Linked DNA regions of Arabidopsis thaliana. The protein of the gene in region 2 interacts with the protein of the main gene of each other region in a pairwise test. Each region holds a gene or a part of one and is shown on either strand. Other genes may lie near its edges. The genes, in order: ARF4 and IAA13.

Region 1 (11,810 bases), on a different chromosome or scaffold from region 2:
TTATCAATCCATCAAATGAGATAGGGGAGCTATAAATATTATTGGAAATAAGATATCACCATTTTATCATAAATATATGTTATTATCAGTAACAAATTTATCGCCAATAACAATAGAGGAATGTATTCCATTATTATTTTAAAAACAGAGTTAGTAAGTAATGTAACGGCATATATCTATTGTCAATTTATCAGAAATAATAATGAATTTGGAATGGTCTTCATATTCTATATAACGGTCCAAACAAAATAATTCTATCTTAAAGCTCTCAAAATTATAGTGTTATCTCATGGTATCCGTTTTTGACGATTTTCATTTTTTCTGTATTTATCACATAAATAACTAAGTTTTCTATATTCATAAAGGAACATTATTTAGTGCAAAATTCATAAACTCATTTCATCCGATAAACAATATATCGAATGTTTTTCCTTGAATCTAATCTTTTATAATATACTCTCTTAAAATAAATATATAAATAAACTATTTTTAGATGATAATTACATCATATAAAGGTTAGTGTGTATATATATATAAAGAGAGAAGGATATATGTGTATGGAACACAAAGAAATAGTTCATAGTCATGCCGGGCTTAATCATATATATATCTCAAACCTATCACAATTGTGGCCGAGTTGCTAGAATCACATAACAATTTTATCATAAATATTTTTCATTAGTGATAACAAATCAATCGCTAATAACGTAAGAAAAATATGTTCTATCTAAAAAGTAGCAAAGAATATGATTGCATAAATAATGTAACGGAGTATATTTGTTACAACAATTGCTAAAAAAATCATACAATCATTTTATCATAAATAGTTTTCATTATCGATAATAGATCAATCACCAATAACGAGAGAATACATAAGAAGACCCTTTAACAAAAAAAAACGAGAGAATACATGTTTTACTTTAGAAAATAGCGACAAATAATTTCAGATAACAATATAACGATTTTTTAATATATTAAAATATGAGATTAAGTTTAGAATATTAAACAATTAACGAAAATGATGTATCAGTAAATCAAAAACATATTGACCATATTACGCTTGTTACTTGTTAGTAATTTTTTTTACGCCGCCATTTTTGTTGCTATATTTAAAAAAAATATTCCAATAATATTACTATTAGATATGAAAAGATCACTACTAATTAAAGGTGGATCTTTCTGGCAGATTTGGATACATTGTACAAATGAAATGAGAAGATAATAGTCAAATAAATTTGTATTGCATACCATATATTGATTGAATATTAAGATTATGAAATGTTACAAAAATAGTAAAATTCAAATTCAAATAAAAATATAATAAATCAAAGTTGAAATTTACTCATAGACAACTCAAATATTAATTATTTGGTTTGTAATATTCTGCTATAAATACATGAGCATTTTCATTCTACAAACACCAATCCTATATTTTAGCTTCTCAAATATCACTAAAAATGGTGAAAAAAAGCAAAGGTCGTCAAAAAATAGAGATGGTCAAAATGAAAAATGAAAGTAACCTTCAAGTTACTTTTTCAAAAAGAAGATCTGGACTTTTCAAAAAGGCTAGTGAGCTTTGCACACTTTGTGGTGCAGAAGTGGCCATAGTTGTGTTCTCACCTGGTCGAAAAGTCTTTTCTTTTGGTCATCCAAATGTTGATTCTGTAATTGATCGATTCATAAACAATAACCCTCTACCTCCTCACCAACACAACAACATGCAACTTAGAGAAACTCGTCGAAATTCGATTGTTCAGGATCTGAATAATCATCTTACTCAGGTAATCTTACTCTTATTTTTAAGTATGATTAAAACAAAATAGTGTTTTCTATGAATCATAAAACCCAAATTTCTATGGTTAAATTCTTTTTTTATTTAATATATATAAGTAAAAGTTTTCGCAGGTGAATAAATAATATATAAAAAACATTAGACAGTCTTTTTCTCCATAACTAGAATAGATTTATATCCTAATAGTATGTTAGATAAAAATGCCGATGAAATGTTATAGAATCATATGGTATGAAAATTAATAATATTATTGGTGTTTTTATTTGTATATATATTTGCAGGTGTTGAGTCAATTAGAAACAGAGAAAAAGAAGTACGACGAGTTAAAGAAAATAAGAGAAAAGACAAAAGCCCTTGGGAATTGGTGGGAAGATCCCGTTGAGGAACTTGCGTTATCTCAACTCGAGGGGTTCAAAGGTAATCTTGAAAATTTGAAGAAAGTAGTTACAGTCGAAGCTTCCAGATTTTTTCAGGCAAATGTTCCAAACTTCTATGTGGGAAGTTCTAGTAATAATGCTGCTTTTGGGATTGATGATGGTAGTCATATCAACCCTGATATGGATCTCTTTAGCCAAAGAAGAATGATGGACATAAATGCCTTCAACTACAACCAGAACCAAATTCACCCTAATCATGCATTACCACCCTTTGGAAACAATGCTTATGGTATTAATGAAGGGTTTGTTCCAGAATACAATGTGAACTTCAGACCAGAGTATAACCCAAACCAAAACCAAATCCAAAACCAAAATCAAGTTCAAATCCAAATCCAAAACCAGAGTTTTAAGAGAGAAAACATCTCTGAATATGAACATCATCATGGTTATCCTCCCCAGTCTAGATCTGATTACTATTAACCCTTTGTTGTGTGATCCAACTTAAGTCTCTAGACAAAAAGTTGTGTGTTTAGGTTATCTTTATTTCTTCTTATTTATGTTTCTACATGTGTTGTTGTTGTTTTTCTTGTTCTTGTTTAAGTATTATGTTGTATTGTGTTGTTTCATTTCAAAATTATGTTATTGCTATATATAAATTATATGTGTCGGAAACAAATGCATTACGCCTCTGAAAATACTAGTCTGCCATGGTTACGTTTACGCATTTTGGGCAATTGCAGAATTTTAAACACAGAAAGGTAATAATCATAATCAATCATGTACTATTTTAAAATAAATTTGCAAAAAAGCATAATGAAAATTTCTGTGTGCACCATTTTTCAACTAAAATAGTACATACATTATCCCACATATTTTGGTACATTGTAAAAAATGAAATGACAGCATTACAATGGCTTTCCCTCTAATTTCATTCCTTATAATGATGAAATACAGATATTGTGAAATATTCCTAAAATGATAAAAATCTAATTCTAATATAGAAAATATAATAAAATTAATGTTAAATTTAAGGAAAATATAATAAAATTAAGGTTAACTTTTAGTTGAAAAAAAGGCTAAATCTATGTCACATCATTCTATTTAATTAATCCGTGCAGTATACTCTAATATTTATTTTCCTTAAAAAAGATTAAATCATCATCAAATATCTAGTATGTATTAGATATCAATCTAAAAATAAATAAAAAAATTGTAAGAACAATACAAGAGTATCCACATATGTAAGAACTTAAGAAATGAAATTTTCAAAATCAAGCAAAATACTTCAAAACTAATATATATATTGTAATTTTGAAAACCTTAAAATCCAATGGCATGCTTTACACATCCCATAAACTCACATATCTCTCGAGTAAAACGGTACACATGAGACATCCATGGAGACCAGAAGAAACACAAACAAACACATAAATGGATTCAAAGACAAAGATAAAGTTGAAGTTCTTTTGTGAGCAAAACACACTTTAAAACATAGGAAATAAGCTTCTTTATGGGTATCAAACCCTAGTGATTGTAGGAGAAGAATCAGGCTGGCTCACAGAAGATGACTTTGATGCTTCCATCATGAGAGCAGCTTGCTCTAAACAACTCTTGTTATCGTCATTCGCATTCTCCACTTCCTCTTTCGTGTATAAGTGTATCTTCCACACCACATTGCAGAAATCACTATCCATAGCAGAAAGCCAATTTCAAGTTAGGAGAAAAGAAGTTGTGATTGACCTTTAGAAGGTATGTATAAAGAACTTACTGCCATGGATCATCGCCAACGACCATCATATCGTTCTCACTATCAGTATATAAGATCCTCCATCCTTTTTCAGGATCCCTGAGAAGCCCTTCCATGTTGAACAGCCGTTCAAGCTCCATAAGGAGATCATCATACCCGTTAAGTCGCGACAAATCAATAGCTCTCCCCACTTGGCTTCCTTGCTTGTGAACCTTTTGATAACAATTCAACACAAGAACTGATTAGAAGAGACATCTAAAACTGCAACTCAAAGTAGCCAAAGAGATGATAAAGAAAACGTTTTACCTTTGTACAGATTCTTTTGCTCGAGCTTTGCGGCTTAGATGCAGGTGTCTCCACTGGTAAGGAGAATCCGAAAAGTTTACATCCTGATGAAGCATTCATATTCAACTCACTGCCTTTCTGTTTTCCCATCATATCAATCTTGAATGGCAAATCAGCTGTAACATTATTTGGTAGGCCACCTTCATTTTGTGCATCAAACTTTCTAGTCTCTTCACCAAAGTTTATTGCACGTGAAGGGGGACCCGAGGATTGGTTTCCCGCATTGTATGGATTCTGATACGGAACATGAGTGCTCCTAATCCCATGCAAAGCTAGCGGATAGTAACTTGACTTGTTGGCTTGGTAAGCAAAGGGATTAGGAGCAGCAGCTGGACTGAAACCAGCAAATTGCGGGAATGATTTAAGCGAGCAAATTTCTTGACCTTGCAAGACCCTTGGAAACCTATCCAGGTCCATAACACCTGAACAAGCTGGGTTCACGCCAGTAGCATCTACAAACTCACCAAATCGATCCTTGACTCTACTCGACACAAGAACTGGATTTGCATGAGACTGCATCGCAAAATCCAGTATCCGGCGGTTCATAACATCAAACCCCTGTGAGGGTGATGCAGAACCTATATTTTCTTGACCTTGCAAGACCTTAGAGGGTCTAACCGACTCCTCAAAGTCCAAAAAACCACCCCTTTCTGCTGCAACCAAGAACAGTTATCAATAATATACTGATGAAAATTGAGAACTGTTTGCAAAAGCATATACTCCAAAGAGAAGAGAGGTCTATATAATTTACTTGTTATGGGGTTTCCGGGTGGGGTAGTATCCAGTAAACCTGCCCATGGCCTTTTAGGCCTTGGAGATGACTGAATGCTCAAGTGTGGGAGAGAAACCGAGGGATCAATCTCCCAAGGTGAAACTCTTTCTTGATGATCACTCACAAAAGACTCATCCCATCGCACCTGCCAAACAAATGTGAAAGATTTAGATATCAATCTTCGAAAATGAAAAGTCTTCTACACGTTAATAGACAGATACTCCAAAAAGATGAGAGGACGCACCAACAAGCACCTCCATTTAGAGTTTGGCCACCTATACGGGTCCAAGTCACAGACTCCAGTCACTACACCAGCGCATCTGCAAGAAAGATCGAATATAAATTCTCGTCCAACAATATTAGCTACACAACACAGAGAAAGAAGCAAGAAAGAAACAATACCTTCTCTCAGGAGAATCGTCCATTTCAAATCGCATTCTAAATCTTGTGCCTATGCAAACAGGACTCCTGATGCTTGTGATATACTTCTCATAAGGAATCACAAACTCTGCATGCGTCGCTCTGTATATAAATCCACAAATCAACATTATAGTTCTTTATTTCTTACTGAACCTAGTTAAGAATCATTACGAATGGCAGCTTTTCATTTTTATCTCACCGTGGACTGTAGAACACATGAAACATGCTTTTTGTAGATACAGCATTAGCCACAAGAGACAGAATGTTTGAACATGAATTCTTCTCAATGATTGAGTCAGGAAGTCCATTTCTTGGCCGTGCTGCTCTTCTGATTCCTAATCTCAGCTCTCCTCCTTCGTCTCTATAAACGCCGATATTAGTAATGAATGTAAACATTATTGGATCAAGGGCTTCAAACCACCAAAGCAGAGGGAAACACCATGAATCTACATCACCATTTGATAAACTGAAATCTTACGATTACCTCAGAAAGAGAACCGCATCACCAGAGACGAGATTCTTTTGACTGACAAAGATACTCCAACCAGTGGTGAGTAGATGCCTCCTTGGTTGACCTATATTAAAAAGAGACAGAACTAAACATTTTGGTTTCACTGACGAAGAAAAAAGAAACGAATAATAACAAACTCAAAACCACCTCTATAGATATGGCGAAACTTCCACTCTACTCCATGGAGGTCCTTTGCAATGAGCTCTTGAGATGGCCTCTGTTGTTTGTAGTCCTAACACCAGTGGAAAATTCACAAATAAGGCTTATAACAAGAAGATAAAACCTCTCCTTAAAAAAAAAAATAAGGAAATGAGATATAGAGAATTATACAAGAGGAGCAAAACAATCTTCAGCGGCTCTTCTAGGTACAGAGAAGCCTCCATGTGTGCTTGTGTCAGACGCTGTTAAGGTTTTACAGAACATATGAGGTGTCCGCTTGACGGATGAGCTTCCGTTCCTCTCTTCCTCCCCTCCTAACTCCTTGACCTCTTTCCCCTCCCCATTTAGCATCGAAAACTATAAAAACCAAGAAGTTACTTCAGCATCTTAACATCACAGAGATTATAAATGAAACTCAACAAGACCAACGGTTTCAGTGATTCCTCTGATCCTGTTAAACCAATGATGAGTTTGAGTCACTTAGAGAACAAACAAGATTATTCACAATCTCTTTAAACCGTAGCATCTAAAATCACACCTAGAATCTGGAATTACACTAGTGATATCAAAAATCAATTGAATTGTCAAAAAAGCAACAAGTTTGAGTAAAAGAGAGTACCTCTTGAAGTGGAAGCAGAGTGACTTGAGTGTAGACCTCATCGGTGTCCTTATTAGCCTTTTGTTTCCCCAAAAGAAGGAACCAAGTTTGCAAACAATTACCACAATTAGAGAAAGAAAACAGAACTTGTTCAAGAATAGTAAAATAGAACACAAAAGGAATGTTCTTTATTTGGGTAGAGTGATACAGACAGACTTACAAGCAACTGGACATTAACCACCCTGCAGACGATTTGGGGATTAAGGTCAAATTTGGGGATTTCAAGAGGAGACGAATATGAAACCATAGCATCTTGCTCCAAATGACCTTGAGGGAAATAGACAACTACATTGCCTTTCTTGGGAAGACAAGTGAGAGGACCAGCACAAGCATGCCAAAGCTCAGAGTAAATGGAAGATGCAGAGCCTGTAGAAGATGATGACGATGATGATCCGGAAGAGCATGAAGAAGAAGAAGATGGTGAAATTCCAAGCCTACCCTTGTCAATTCTTGTTCCTCCTCCTACTCCTACTCCTACATCATCATTCTCCTCCTCTTCCACCTCCGCAATCTCAGTATTCAAGTCAAATTCCATTGAAAAAGCTTCTCTTTTAAGAGCAAAAGGAGACAAGAAGAAAACAAAAAGTTTCTATTTTTAATCAGATTACAACAAAACAAGTAAAACCCATCAAAGGAAAGTTTGCAAAATTCGAGCTTTGAAGTGACAGAATTCGGAATTCCTCTCCTTTTTCAGCTAAATTTCACAAAGAAGAGGCAAACTTAGCTATTGACGGGAAAGATGAGTCATAAGTGTGGAATAACGAATCAGAGACAGAGAGAGAAGAAGAGAGAGGAAGGAGGAATCAAATGAGAACAAGGGTTTCAGAGAAGGATTCTTCTTCCTCCATTTGCAGGTACTGAGAAGAGGGAGCACAAGGAACAGACATAGACTAAAATTTGCAGATTGGAAAAAAATATACTTTTTAAAGAGCAAAAAAAAAACAATTTAGTGGAAAGAGAGAGAGAGAGAGAAAGAGAGGGAGAGATAAGCGGGGGAGACAAAGCCAAGACAGAACAGAACCCACACCTACACTCTCCCTTTCTCCTTCTTCTTCTTCTTCCTCTTCTTCTCTCTTTTTTGTTTTTGTTTCCCAATAAAGACTTATTTATTCACATGAAATTTTATATATAAAAACTATATTTGTGTCAATATACACACGTTTACACAAAATAAAAGTTTTCACTTTTTTGCTAATTATTACCGTTTTTGATTTTCGTCCTTTTTGTTGAAAGAAGAAATGTTAAAAGTTTAATTAGGTGCTAATAAGACTAATTCAATCCATTGTCTAGATTGTTTTCTTCAAAATCAACTGTTTTTTAAATACGTCAAACCATCGATGAATCAATCGTTTAATTATTCATACTAGACTATTCACTCAAAATGAACCATCAAAGTTTATATGCATCTATTGGATTTATGGTATTACGAAATTGACGTAACCCTTTGTTTTTCTCATTCACACCATAATTTTCTTTAACTTGTGTGAGTTGTGAGGAATAAAAACCGCAAATTGATTAGCTTTTTCTTTGCATACTCTTACAAAGGAAACAGTATCTCTTTGGAATCTTTCTTTGTTCTTTCTTTTTTTATGTTATGAATTTTTATTTGTTTTCGATTTATTAGAAAAAATGCTTTTTCATTGCGTTGTTAAGAGCCAACCAACCGGCTAAAGACAGAAGAGTAGGCTCCTTTCGATTTTGTAACAAAAGCACTTTTTCTCTCTTTTTCTGAGACAAACAATATGAAAATCAGCATTTTGTTATTGATTAACTAAAGTACTGTCTGTGTTTAAAAACCTAATCAACTAAAAAAAACTTTCAGCGGTCTGTAATATAAAATTTATACTTCAATAACCACACCGACTCTTTCAGTAAAATAAAACTACTCAAATACTTACTACTTATTGGATAAATATCTTCAAATGGGTTTAGTAAAAATAAATAAAATATATTTGATGGTCCAAATGATTGCTTCATAATTTGAAAACATTTATATATACATTTTTGCAGTCATTTTAGCAAATAAATCTTAGAGTTGAACTTATTTACAACCCAATGCCATTAGCATTAAATCTTTTTTTCAAAATAATTAATTTTACTTTAAATTTTTAATTTAAATTGTCAATCACATTATCAATCAAATTTAATCCAAACAAACTTCACATCAATCCCTTAAAATTAGCATAAACGTATTTTATTAACAAAATTTTTTGTTTAAATAAATATTGTTCTTACTAAATATTTTTTGTTTAAATAAACAAATCATGTATTTGAACTTATTTACAATGTCATGCTACTGACATTAATTATTTAGGCATGAAAATATTTATTTAAAGATTTAAATCTTTTAAATTTTGCTTTTAGAGTTATTATATCATTTACCTAAAAGGCAAAAAATATTAATTTTTTAAATATTATTATTTGTATATTTAAACTTCATAAAACATTATTAATATTTGAATTTATAAAAAGTTTAATCTATCAAAAATAATTAACATCATTATATAATATATAAAGTTTAAAAAAATCTCAAAAAAAATTTCGTCATATTTTGTAATTCGAAATTTTAAGAATGAACATATATTAACCAATTGGCGAAAAATGTGTGGGTACAACGTCCCGCAACGACTAAAATATTTTGACAATGATTCATAAACATATTATAAATAAGATCAACATTAATAAAATAAATAGTTTTTTTTTGTGGACGGGTTTGGCAGGACGGGTTTGGCAGGACGTTACTTAGTAACAATGGTAAACTATAAAATAATTTACAAATTTTTATATATATTAATTTTTAAAAATGAACTGTGTCCGCGGTGTACCGCGGGTTAAAATCTAGTAACATGTATTTTTGCTCATATAATATTAGTTTGCTACTAATTCATATAACCTGATCAAAGTATCATATTATGTTTTGTATATTCCTTTCACAATTTCGCAACTTACTTAATTATCTACTTTTAAAAACATTTGATTATGAGTAATAACCTTTCGTAACTTCATTGGAGAAGAAAAAAAAGAATAAGAAAAGAAGAAAACAAAAAGGATGATGGGATGGGAGAAGGAGAAAGAATGAGTCTCTTCTTCAGAAGTTGTGAGTTAGTGACTGAGTCCCAACAACTAACAAAGACCCCCTTGATATTTGCTGCCTCTTTGGCCCCCACCTTCTTTATTGTTTTTCTTACATTTTTCATGCAACATACTCCTTCTAAAACTAGCTTAATATTCTCACTTTTTTTCTTTAGTACTTCTGATTAGAAATATATATCTTGTTTATTCTGATGTTGCACCATAATTCGAAACGTGTAATCTCTTATTCTTAATGATATGATTACCATATTCTTCTGTCTGCTGATCATAACTTTTAGTCAAAGATTATCTTTTTTTAATTAGTACTAAAAAGAAAGAGTGGATCGTATCTCATTTTCATGTTTCTTAATTTCCTAACTAAAATAATATTTTACTAAGAAAGTCGATTTTGTACAATTTTAGAAAAGACATCTAATTTGATTATATTGTGAGAAGTCCCACGGTTGAATTTTATGATGTGAGTTAGTTTTGGACCAAAAACTCAATATATATAATTATATACACGTAAATTTGTCAAAATACAACACATAAAGCAATATAGCTCTGAAAATAATAGAATTATAGAAATAAAGATTCCACTTAAATTTGTTTGTGACTTTCTCCTGCTGAAAGTAATTAAGCATCCATTTGAAGAAATGAGCCACTTGGATGCTTTGACTCTCCACTCAAAGTAAGCTTGTGTTTATAAAAAAAAACCTAAGCATATATTCATCCTCTATTTGTATTTATCTCGTCTTTTACATGCCTCCATTTTTTTTTCTTATCCTCCTTTTTTTTTTTTGGTAAAACTCTTATCCTCCCTTTCTTACGGTACAAGCCATCACGCTCGGTTCTGATTTTCTTCTTCTCTCTGTTTCAGTTTCGTTTCATGCGGCATACATGTAAATTACTAAATTGTAGAGATCATAACGTTCAATTTATCGAGTTTTATTTCTGAAAATATTATATTTTCTTTTTTGTACCGAGGTTTCAAAATATTCATGTTTTTTTATGTGTGGAAAGAATAGCACATATCCATAGCCATATTTGTTGCCTGATTTCTTTTGACCAAGTTGATTGAATTAGCCTATGGATATTTGTTGTTCTTTTCAAATATATGGCAATTTTTCTTTGTACTATATTTTTAATATGTATTTTTTGAGTTTACGAGATTCCTGCATGTACATACTATATAAATTTGGCGTAATTTGTAATAAGAATCAATATATAATGAAATCATACTGTTTTTTATAATATTGATATTTAAGTAGAGATGGTTTTATTAAAAATAGAAGAAAAAAGTTTATTGTTTGGCAGAGCAAAAAAAAAAAAGGAAAAAGACAGAGGTGGATAATTAGGAGACGTCGTGTCAAAAATATTGTCGCGAGAAAACGACAAAGCAACGCCAATGACTTTATTAAAGTCACAAGTGTCTGTATCATTCGATTAAAGACACTCCTCTCTCTCTCTCTCCCTCTCATTTTTTTTTGTAATACTATTTTTACTTTCTTTTTTTTTAACATGTTTGTAGTTAATTGCGGTTCCGGAATAACCACACACAGAGAGAATTAGTTACAGTCATTTTAAAAATCCAATAAAAATCTATGCACGGTATTCTTGAAATTGTGTTTTATGAAGGGAAACTAATTAAAAAGTTCATTTTCAGAAATTTTAATAGAACTACATAGCCAAGAAAATTAAAAACAGGTTGAGTAGAATTCATAAATCAAACTTGTGATAAGAAAAGTAGGCCCATCAAAAAAAAGAATTGTAGAGACAAATGGTATCCCATAAGGAGAAAGCAATTTGTCAAATTGGAGCCTACATTAAAAGTTGGGCCCCTATTTTAACTTTTTCAACTCTTTTTTTTTGGTTTAAAGTTTATTAAAAAAAAAAACAGACCAAAACGATTAGAGTGAAAATTGAAGCTTGTCAAACTAAACTCTATAATCCTCGA
Region 2 (9,018 bases):
TTCACTCTGAACGCAAACTCACCACCCGCGTAGATTACACCGGTGGTGGAAACCCAACTTGGAACGACAAGTTTGTCTTCCGAGTTAGCGAGGATTTCCTCTACGCCGATACTTCAGCCGTCGTGGTTGAAATCTACGCTTTACATTGGTTCCGTGATGTTCACGTTGGCACAGTCCGTGTCCTCATTAGCAACTTAATCCCTCCAAATCGCCGACCTGGATACCGAAGCAACGAGGAGTACCGTCGTACACCCCCTCCCGGAATGCGATTCGTCGCACTTCAAGTTCGCAGACCATCAGGTCGTCCTCAAGGAATATTAAACATCGGTGTGGGAATACTGGACGGATCAATGCGTAGCATGCCACTTTACACCAATATGGACTCTTCTGCAGTAGGTTACAGAGACTTGCTTGGAGAAGAAGATCCAAATCTGCAGAATTTGCATCTCAATAGCTTCAAAGGAAGCTCAAAGAATCCACAATCACCATCTTCTAAACAATACCAATCCGTAGTCTCGAGACCGCCAATGCTCCGTCGTACAAGGAGCGATACAAGTTCAATGGTCGTTTCCGATCTTCTAAGCAGAGTTGAGCGAAGTCGTGTAGCTAATAGGAAGCCAGCGAGCGCGTTGATGAGCGCAGAATCGGAAACTGTACCTACAACGACGGGACACGATTCAGTGACTTCAGATTCCGAGCTGACGAAATCGATAGAGTATGCACTTCCTTATCAATCCCCAAAGATTCCAAGTCAGGGATACGATTCATACGAGCCTGATTTCATAGATCAATCACCAAATCACAATGTGTTGCGGCCGAGAAGTGAGAGACAACACGAACCTGATTTCATAGATCAATCACCTTTTCGATCAAACGATCGTTCACGCAAAACTCCGAGAAGATCAACACCAATGATCGAGAAACCAAGACCGCCGAGAGACTATGACCGTACAAGCAGCCGCGCTTCACCATATTTGTCAAGACACGGAACGCCGTTGAGATCAAACATCGTCGCGTCTACTCCGATCAGATCTAACATGGTTTCATCAAGTCCAATGAGATCCACCGGCGTCGGATCAACTCCGAGAAGATCTAACATCCTCGGATCGACTCCGTTACGATCCAACATCGTCGGATCAACTCCGATTAGATCTAACTACAAGGCTACACCGATGAAATCGCCTATGCAATTTGGTACTCCGATGAGATCTAATTTAGCAGGAAGACCGGTTTTAACAGAATCCGAATTAGGTCCGTCGCCATCAGAAGTAGCGCAGAAAATGGCGAAAGAGAGATCACAAGCTTACGAAACAGAGAGTTCGATTCTTAGTGAATGGAGCTTAGACGATGATAGTAACATCGAAGGTCTCCGATCGAAACTTGAGAGATGGAGAACAGAGCTTCCGCCGCTTTACGATCTGGGATCGAGTCATCAAAGCAGCGATGTAGGAAGCGGCGCGATGGTTGTTGCTAATGTAGGTGGAGGAAAAAGCTCGAGGAAGAAAACTCCGGCGGTGAAGAAGAAGCATAATCGCCGTCACACTGAAGGAGGAGGTAACGGACTTTTCTCGTGTTTTAGTAATTTGTGCGGCGTGGAATGCACATTCGTGTGTGGAGGCGGGTCGGATCAAGACGGGTCAAAAAAGAAAGGTGGGTCTGGGCGTTTGCCCCGCTTGGGCTCTGCTGATGATTTGAGTTATTTATGATTATTTTTAATTTTTAGGCTGACCAATATTCTTTTATTTTCTATATATTTGGTTTGTGAAAATGAGAAAATATTTGTGAATATTTTTAAACATTTCTCTTTTAAAATGTCATTGAGAAATATTGCATGCTATTTTCTTCTTATTACAATTGATATACAGTACACTAATACACATGAAACTATAAGGTAAGTTCAGATAGTTTGTAAAATGTAAAAATTTGCATAAAATATACTCTTGATATTTTGCTATCAAGCTATATGATTTTATATTTAAATTTTTGGCAAATGTGATCACGTGGACCGACGAAATAAAAGATCACTTTATGATGGATTCGGTTCAGAATTTTAAATCAATTAATTGTCGCTTATAGCTTAGTTTGACACAATAATTAAACTTAGCGAGATTAAAAATAGAGAAAAAGGAAATAAAGAGGCGCGAAAAAGGGGATTTGTGTCTTGCACTAAACGGGTAAACATCCGGGTGGTCCGCAAAGACCATTGAACAACGTGTCGTTTTAATATTAAGTACTTTTTGGTTTGATCCACCTTGTCGTTTTGTCCCCTTAAAACGACAGCCTTTTTCCTCCTTTCACAACCATTTTTTATTTACTTTCCAGTAATTTGTCACAGTATTTCTCCTCACATATTTGCTGACTGGTAAAATTTAGAACAGTGAAATGATTCTTCAGTTTTCAGTTTATTTTATTCAACTGTTGTCATTTCATCATTTTAGTGAAAAAAATAAAAATGAATTTTCATTCTACTGTTTTGCAAGTAATATGTTTTGTTTTTTCTTACAATTCTGATATACTATCTGACTGATGTAGACAATGTTTTGAGATAAGTTGATTTATATAAGAATGCAATAAATTTCCATTTTTAACAGTCGTATATCTAAATTTTTGTGTATAACTTCCTTAATTATGTCTTCGGATTTTTTTTAAAAAACTCGTTGATATATACTAACGGAAGCAATAAATTCTTTAATTGCTAAAGATTAATAAAGTTGTAACCTTTTTTTTGGGTCTTTTTCTTTAAAGATCGTTATGAAATGGGTATGGACCATGCTAGTATGCTACTAATTCAAAATAGTACATTGGCTATCTAAAGTTGGACTGTGTGAAATAGTTTATTCTACAATTTAAGACCTTTTTCAGGTAAGGAGAAATCACATATTAGAACTAAGATAATCTTAAATGTCTTCGAGTGATCATTTACTTTGTTATACAAAGACAATTTCCTTTTAATATCTACTGTAAAACATATTAATATATCGACAATATTGTTTAGTCTCAAAGTCTTTATGTTATGGTCCTAATAAAAACACTAATTTTTCTACATATTGATTTTAGTCTAGCATGTAGTATTTTTATCACTTTCTAAAAATCATGACTAGTCCTTAATCTTACTTTACAGAATACAATCCTCTTGCAAACTAATACTCTCATTATATATCTTTTCTTAGAATAGTTATATGTTACTGTTGGGATGTTTATAATATAAGATCAATCAAATCAAACAAATATGTATATTTATTTATATACATCTACAAGCGTGAAAATTCATTTGGAATGTCACATATGTTACAATTTTGGAACGTTTATACTTTATCAATATATATATATATTAATATATATTTACAAGCGTGAAGTCATCTCCATCATTTATCTTCAACCATTTGATTACAAGTTATGTATCATGAATCTGCTTTTGTCTTTTCCTTATGATTCCAAATGATATTAACCTTCAACTTGTTGCATGTTCACAAGAGACAAACACAATTCACGGTATATTTGATCAATTGTAATTCGTTACATACATAACTTTAATTCATTGAAATATACACGAACTAGATCAATTAAAAAATTCAGGACGTTGAAAAAGCTTTACAAAAGAAAAGAATGTATAACTTTTCCTTTACACGAATAGTAAATGAGAAAAACTCACATCTACAATTTTCGTTATCGTGTTAAATAGTATACAAATTTAAACCACTTTTTGAGCATTTAGACCTAAGTTTTATTTTCCGGAGATAAGCTGTTATTTTGCTCTGTTTACGTTTTCTTTTGCATCACTACTCTTATGCATATGTATATAAGTCCTCACTTTACTCATTAATAAATTTCTTATTTAAACTAAAAAATCATATACCGAAGTTACTATAAAACCTACGAATTCTCTCTAATTCATAAACATTTGTAAACAGCATTCATTAATACTATATGATAGATAATAAATAACTGTTCGTATAATCTACTTATTTTTCTTATTTCACCTTTACAGACAACCCCACAGCCCACTTGGGTATCGACTTTATAGTTAAAGCAATGTTCGTGCCTTTTGTCCTATAAAGGAACGACACAGGTAGCGCCTAAGAAAAAAATAAAAACTAACAAGTGAGTAAAAATGCAAAATAAGTAGAAGGGAAAAAGAAAAAACGAGTATAAAAATCACACGCAATTCTAGAACAAACGTAGATAACGTGAAAAACATAGAATCAACTATTTGATATTGACTAACTGTTAGTGTACTTGGAACTGTGAGAATAAGTCGCTTTGAAGTCTGAAGAGGTTCAGGTGTCCTGAGTTTCTAAATAAATAAAGAGAACAAACTTGTACTTGTTTTTTGGTTGTGAAATATTACTGTATCTTAATACTGTGAAATTTCAACATATTTCTTGAAACTAAGTTTGGTATTTCTAGCAAATCCATCAATAGAGTATGAAATTCAATGTTCTCATTTAGTCATGATTTTGATCAAAAGAGAATTTTCCACACATCAATTGCGATTGAAAAAGTTTTCAAAGGATCATCATAGCTCACATCAAGAAACATGATGATGAATAATCTCATCACCACTATTTATTTAATAATTCCTTATAATGAAAACCAATTTTGTTCTCACTTTATTTGGAACCCATCATAGTCTAGTCCTCCACGAAAAAAAGAAAAGAAAATAAATGAGCATATAGTGACCCAAAACTAAACCCAAATTCAACTTTTTTTCAAAACTGGTACTTAGCTATACGTTTTCACATATTTAACAGTTGTTACTATGAACATGATATAAAGCATAGCTAACCAGATAAGATCAAACGCAACGAATACAAAATAAACTCTAATATAGCAATCATCAAAACGAATACAAATTCTTGCAAAAATAGAAAAGAAAGTGTGATGCAAAAACAAAGCTTTCCACAAATACAAACACATAACACAAAAACAACAGTTTATATATTTAATATAGTTTAATAAGATATGTTTGTTTTGTTTATCATATTTTTTTATAAACACAGGAGAAAACAATAAGGTAAACGGGAGCACGACAAGTTTGATAATGTCGGGAAGAAAAGTTAAAAAGAATTTCTTTGTTAATAATAAAATTAGGGAATAAAAAAAGGGTAAAAGAGAAGAAGAAAGAATGGCATTGTTGTTGGTATGGCCACTACCAGACATATGGGTCCTACTCTTCTCATCACTCTCTCCACCACCTAATCCTCTCTCTCTTTCTTCTTCCTCAATTCTTGAAACTCTCTTTCAGATTTCAAGAAACCCTTAAAATCCTCTCTCTGTCTCTTTCTGTTTGTTTGTTTTCTTGTTTCCTTCTCTCTCTCTCTTTCTTTCTTTGTCTTCCTTTCCCAGGTTGTTTTTTTTTGCTCTCTCTGCCTTCTTGACTTTCAAAAGACTCTTTCTTTCTTTTGGATTGATTTTGGATTCTAGGGCTCTCTTTCTTTTAGTGGGTTTTTGTTGTTGTTGTTGTGGTCTCTCTGATGATTACTGAACTTGAGATGGGGAAAGGTGAGAGTGAGCTTGAGCTTGGTCTAGGGCTGAGTCTTGGCGGTGGAACGGCGGCCAAGATTGGTAAATCAGGTGGTGGTGGCGCGTGGGGAGAGCGTGGAAGGCTTTTGACGGCTAAGGATTTTCCTTCTGTTGGTTCTAAACGTGCTGCTGATTCTGCTTCTCATGCTGGTTCATCTCCTCCTCGTTCAAGGTTCGTCTTTTTCAAGCTTTTTGGTTTCAAAGAAAGATCTTTTAAGATGTTTAATTCCTTTTGTATGATGTGAAATTGCTATTCTCTGAACATAGTTCGTTTAGGAGTTTCTTAAAGATTCTTTAGTGTTTGGATGTATACTTGATCTGAGTTATGTCGGAAGAAATGCTCTGGTTTGGAATTAGGAATCTTGAATAGTTGAATCTGTTCTTGGTTTTGATTCATTTGGATAGATTACAAGTCCTGACTTGATGTTTGCTTTGTTTGTAGCAGTCAAGTTGTTGGATGGCCTCCTATAGGGTCACACAGGATGAACAGTTTGGTTAATAACCAAGCTACAAAGTCAGCAAGAGAAGAAGAAGAAGCTGGTAAGAAGAAAGTGAAAGATGATGAACCTAAAGATGTGACAAAGAAAGTGAATGGGAAAGTACAAGTTGGATTTATTAAGGTGAACATGGATGGAGTTGCTATAGGAAGAAAAGTGGATTTGAATGCTCATTCTTCTTACGAGAATTTGGCGCAAACATTGGAAGATATGTTCTTTCGCACTAATCCGGGTACTGTCGGGTTAACCAGTCAGTTCACTAAACCGTTGAGGCTTTTAGATGGATCGTCTGAGTTTGTACTTACTTATGAAGATAAGGAAGGAGATTGGATGCTTGTTGGTGATGTTCCATGGAGGTAATAGATCTAAAAACCTTGTTTATTTATCTCTTACACTTCCAATAAATGTTTCTGATGGTCTTTTTGTTGGAATTATCTTAGAATGTTCATCAACTCGGTGAAAAGGCTACGTGTGATGAAAACCTCTGAAGCTAATGGACTCGGTATGTAGATAATCTCATCTTGATTCCTGTTCTTGTTTCTCAAGATGACGCAATGAAAAATTTCTACTAAAACATGTTAATATATATGCAGCTGCACGAAATCAAGAACCAAACGAGAGACAGCGAAAGCAGCCGGTTTAGATCTCTTTTCGACGTTACGGTGTTACAGGTTTTATATTTTGGGGTTTTGCAAGTCTGAGATACTTCTGAAGCAAGCATAAGCTAGATTGATCTTATATCCAGTTTGTGTATTTTCTTGGTTCTTATAATGGTTTTTACTGGTTTTCTTTAGTTTTTTTTTTTGCTGTCTTTTAATTTTCGGTTGCGATTTCACTATATACTATGGATGGAAGAGAATGCTCTTTATATCTTTTACTACACTGTAAATATTTGAAGCTTATCTAATATCGTTTTTAAGGGTTTTTGTTGATGAGTCTACTCTAATGATCTTAGAACTATGCCAATATATCCACAAATAACTACTCAGATCAAATGGGGTTACGGAAACATAAGGCAAGAAAGCAAATAGATTACAAAACTCATAATGTATTTACAACTCAAAACGTTTCACACAGGTTAAACTTCTTATAATAGTGATTGTGAAAATCCTTAATACATACATATTCCTCTCACTGTTAGCTTTTGAGTAATGTAATTGAAGCAGTGACTACAATACTCTACTTTAAGCAAAAGAATAAGCAAGCAACCAACGTTTTCAAGTCATAAGCTTTTAAATTCCCTAGTGACATTTAGCCTTGAGTTTTACGGGACTCTCTGAGTTGTTGATCTCTGATACTCTGCCTCCAACATTGAAGAAGTTTTGAAACAGAATTGCATATTTTTCGGTTCTTGTGTTTTGTAAGATTCTCTAGCCTAACCATGAGCTTCCTTGTTTCCATAGCTCTTGCGCTGATGGGGAACTCCAAGAGCAAAGCGAGGGTATCTACGCACATTGATGTTTCTACTTCAGACGCGAGGATTCCCTTTGCGTTGGCAAAATCAGCAGATTTTTTGGCGATCTCGAACAGTTCCAACAAATCCTTGTCGTTCTTCTTCAAGACAGGACAACCTTTAGATGCGTTCACAGGTGGCCCATGTTCCCCGGATCTAGGGTTTTTAGAAAGTTTCATTGGTAAAGCTGATTTCTTCTTCACCTGAATAGTTCTCGCTGCAAAAGACTTGTAATCACCAGGCTTCTTCAAATTTTGTTTGGTCTTGCCGGTTTCATGATTAGCCGCCCTAGATCTCTGATCTTCTGTCTTGTTCAAGTTTGAGGATACTTGAACAACATCAGGCTTCTGTAGCGTTAGGCGAACCTTGTAGCAAGTACTATTATCCCTCACGCTCTTCATGGATACTTTTTCTGGAACATGATTCTGTTCATCAATTTGCTTAACTTCTCCGGTTTCATGAGCGTGCGAACTCTGATGTTCTCTCTTCTTCAACCCCGAACATACTTTAACAACATTATTTTTCTTCAGATTCAAGGTAAGAGCTTTGTTGTAAGTATAAGCGTCTTTTTCACTGGAAGAAAGAGTCTTCTTCATCGATGAGGAGTTGAACAAAACGTGAGATTCCATTCCTAATCTAACTAGGGTTTAACTCTATCAAATTTGGTTATCGAATTATGGAGATAGAGCGTAGAGAGTTTCAGGTATTATATAGATTGTAGAGAGTAGAGACCCAAACAAAAAAGGAAATTAAAGGAAGCTTTCTTCAGGCCCACGCAACGAAACAACGTCGGACTATACTAATTTCCTTTTTTCTTGTCGAGTACATCCAAGGGTAAATCTGTCAGACCAGATATTTCAACGTTAAAACAATCAGTGACCAATCAAGTAGTAAGTATTTTTAAAAATCCTCTCTTTTCGTTCTTTCTTAATCCGATCCTCTGTTTCGTAAGAAGAAACAGAGATTATAAAGAGCCACTAGATTAACCTAGATTAACCTAGATTAACGAAAAAACGGTTTGTTTCGGTTCCACGTAACAACGGTAACTTGGTAAGAAGCAAAAGCTAACACGAAGTAAAACAAGAGCTGGTCTGTTTCAACATAAATTTACATAAACCAAAATTACTTTCACAAAAAATATAGTAAAAACCCCTCAGTTTTTACAAAAGAGAAACACATTTACTTCACTTAAACAATTAAACAAAGAGAGATTGTTGTTTTCCTTATTTATTCACTACTGAGTAAACACTGATCAATTTGCAGAATAAAAGGCAAACATTTTAAGATTAAGGAATAAACAACTTCAAAAGCTTTTTATACCAAGAAATTACAGAATGTTTTGTTGATTTGCTATTACATTGTTTTTTTTTTATATATCAGCTTAAGCTCTAACATAAGGGGGAGAGAGAAACATACAAAAATTTCAGTACATTAATAACAGAACAAAAGTACAAACACATTTGACAAAGAGAAGTTTTTACCCCCAAAAAATGGATGCAGAACACTCACCGACCATGCCTCCCATTCTTGCTTCACAGAAAGGTT

What was found.
Region 1: the proteins of IAA13 (region 2) and ARF4 interact in a two-hybrid assay, tested with the Arabidopsis thaliana proteins (one large-scale study listed by BioGRID).

Annotation. Positions count from the first base shown.
Region 1 is NC_003076.8:24,304,872-24,316,681, forward strand, and holds ARF4 (auxin response factor 4), read right to left. Parts: upstream 7,914-11,810; 5' UTR 7,317-7,913; coding exon 6,942-7,316; intron 6,800-6,941; coding exon 6,743-6,799; intron 6,481-6,742; coding exon 6,295-6,480; intron 6,197-6,294; coding exon 6,112-6,196; intron 6,029-6,111; coding exon 5,938-6,028; intron 5,815-5,937; coding exon 5,653-5,814; intron 5,556-5,652; coding exon 5,436-5,555; intron 5,354-5,435; coding exon 5,278-5,353; intron 5,179-5,277; coding exon 5,013-5,178; intron 4,912-5,012; coding exon 4,223-4,911; intron 4,129-4,222; coding exon 3,938-4,128; intron 3,856-3,937; coding exon 3,687-3,855; 3' UTR 3,384-3,686; downstream 1-3,383. Other genes in the region: AGL62 (AGAMOUS-like 62), read left to right, coding at 1,458-1,781, 2,074-2,649. UniProt on the Arabidopsis thaliana protein: Auxin response factors (ARFs) are transcriptional factors that bind specifically to the DNA sequence 5'-TGTCTC-3' found in the auxin-responsive promoter elements (AuxREs). Could act as transcriptional activator or repressor.
Region 2 is NC_003071.7:14,112,214-14,121,231, reverse strand, and holds IAA13 (auxin-induced protein 13), read left to right. Parts: upstream 1-5,262; 5' UTR 5,263-5,474; coding exon 5,475-5,695; intron 5,696-5,965; coding exon 5,966-6,376; intron 6,377-6,460; coding exon 6,461-6,522; intron 6,523-6,613; coding exon 6,614-6,663; 3' UTR 6,664-6,951; downstream 6,952-9,018. Other genes in the region: AT2G33320 (Calcium-dependent lipid-binding (CaLB domain) family protein), read left to right, coding at 1-1,706; AT2G33300 (Transcription elongation factor (TFIIS) family protein), read right to left, coding at 7,272-8,102. UniProt on the Arabidopsis thaliana protein: Aux/IAA proteins are short-lived transcriptional factors that function as repressors of early auxin response genes at low auxin concentrations.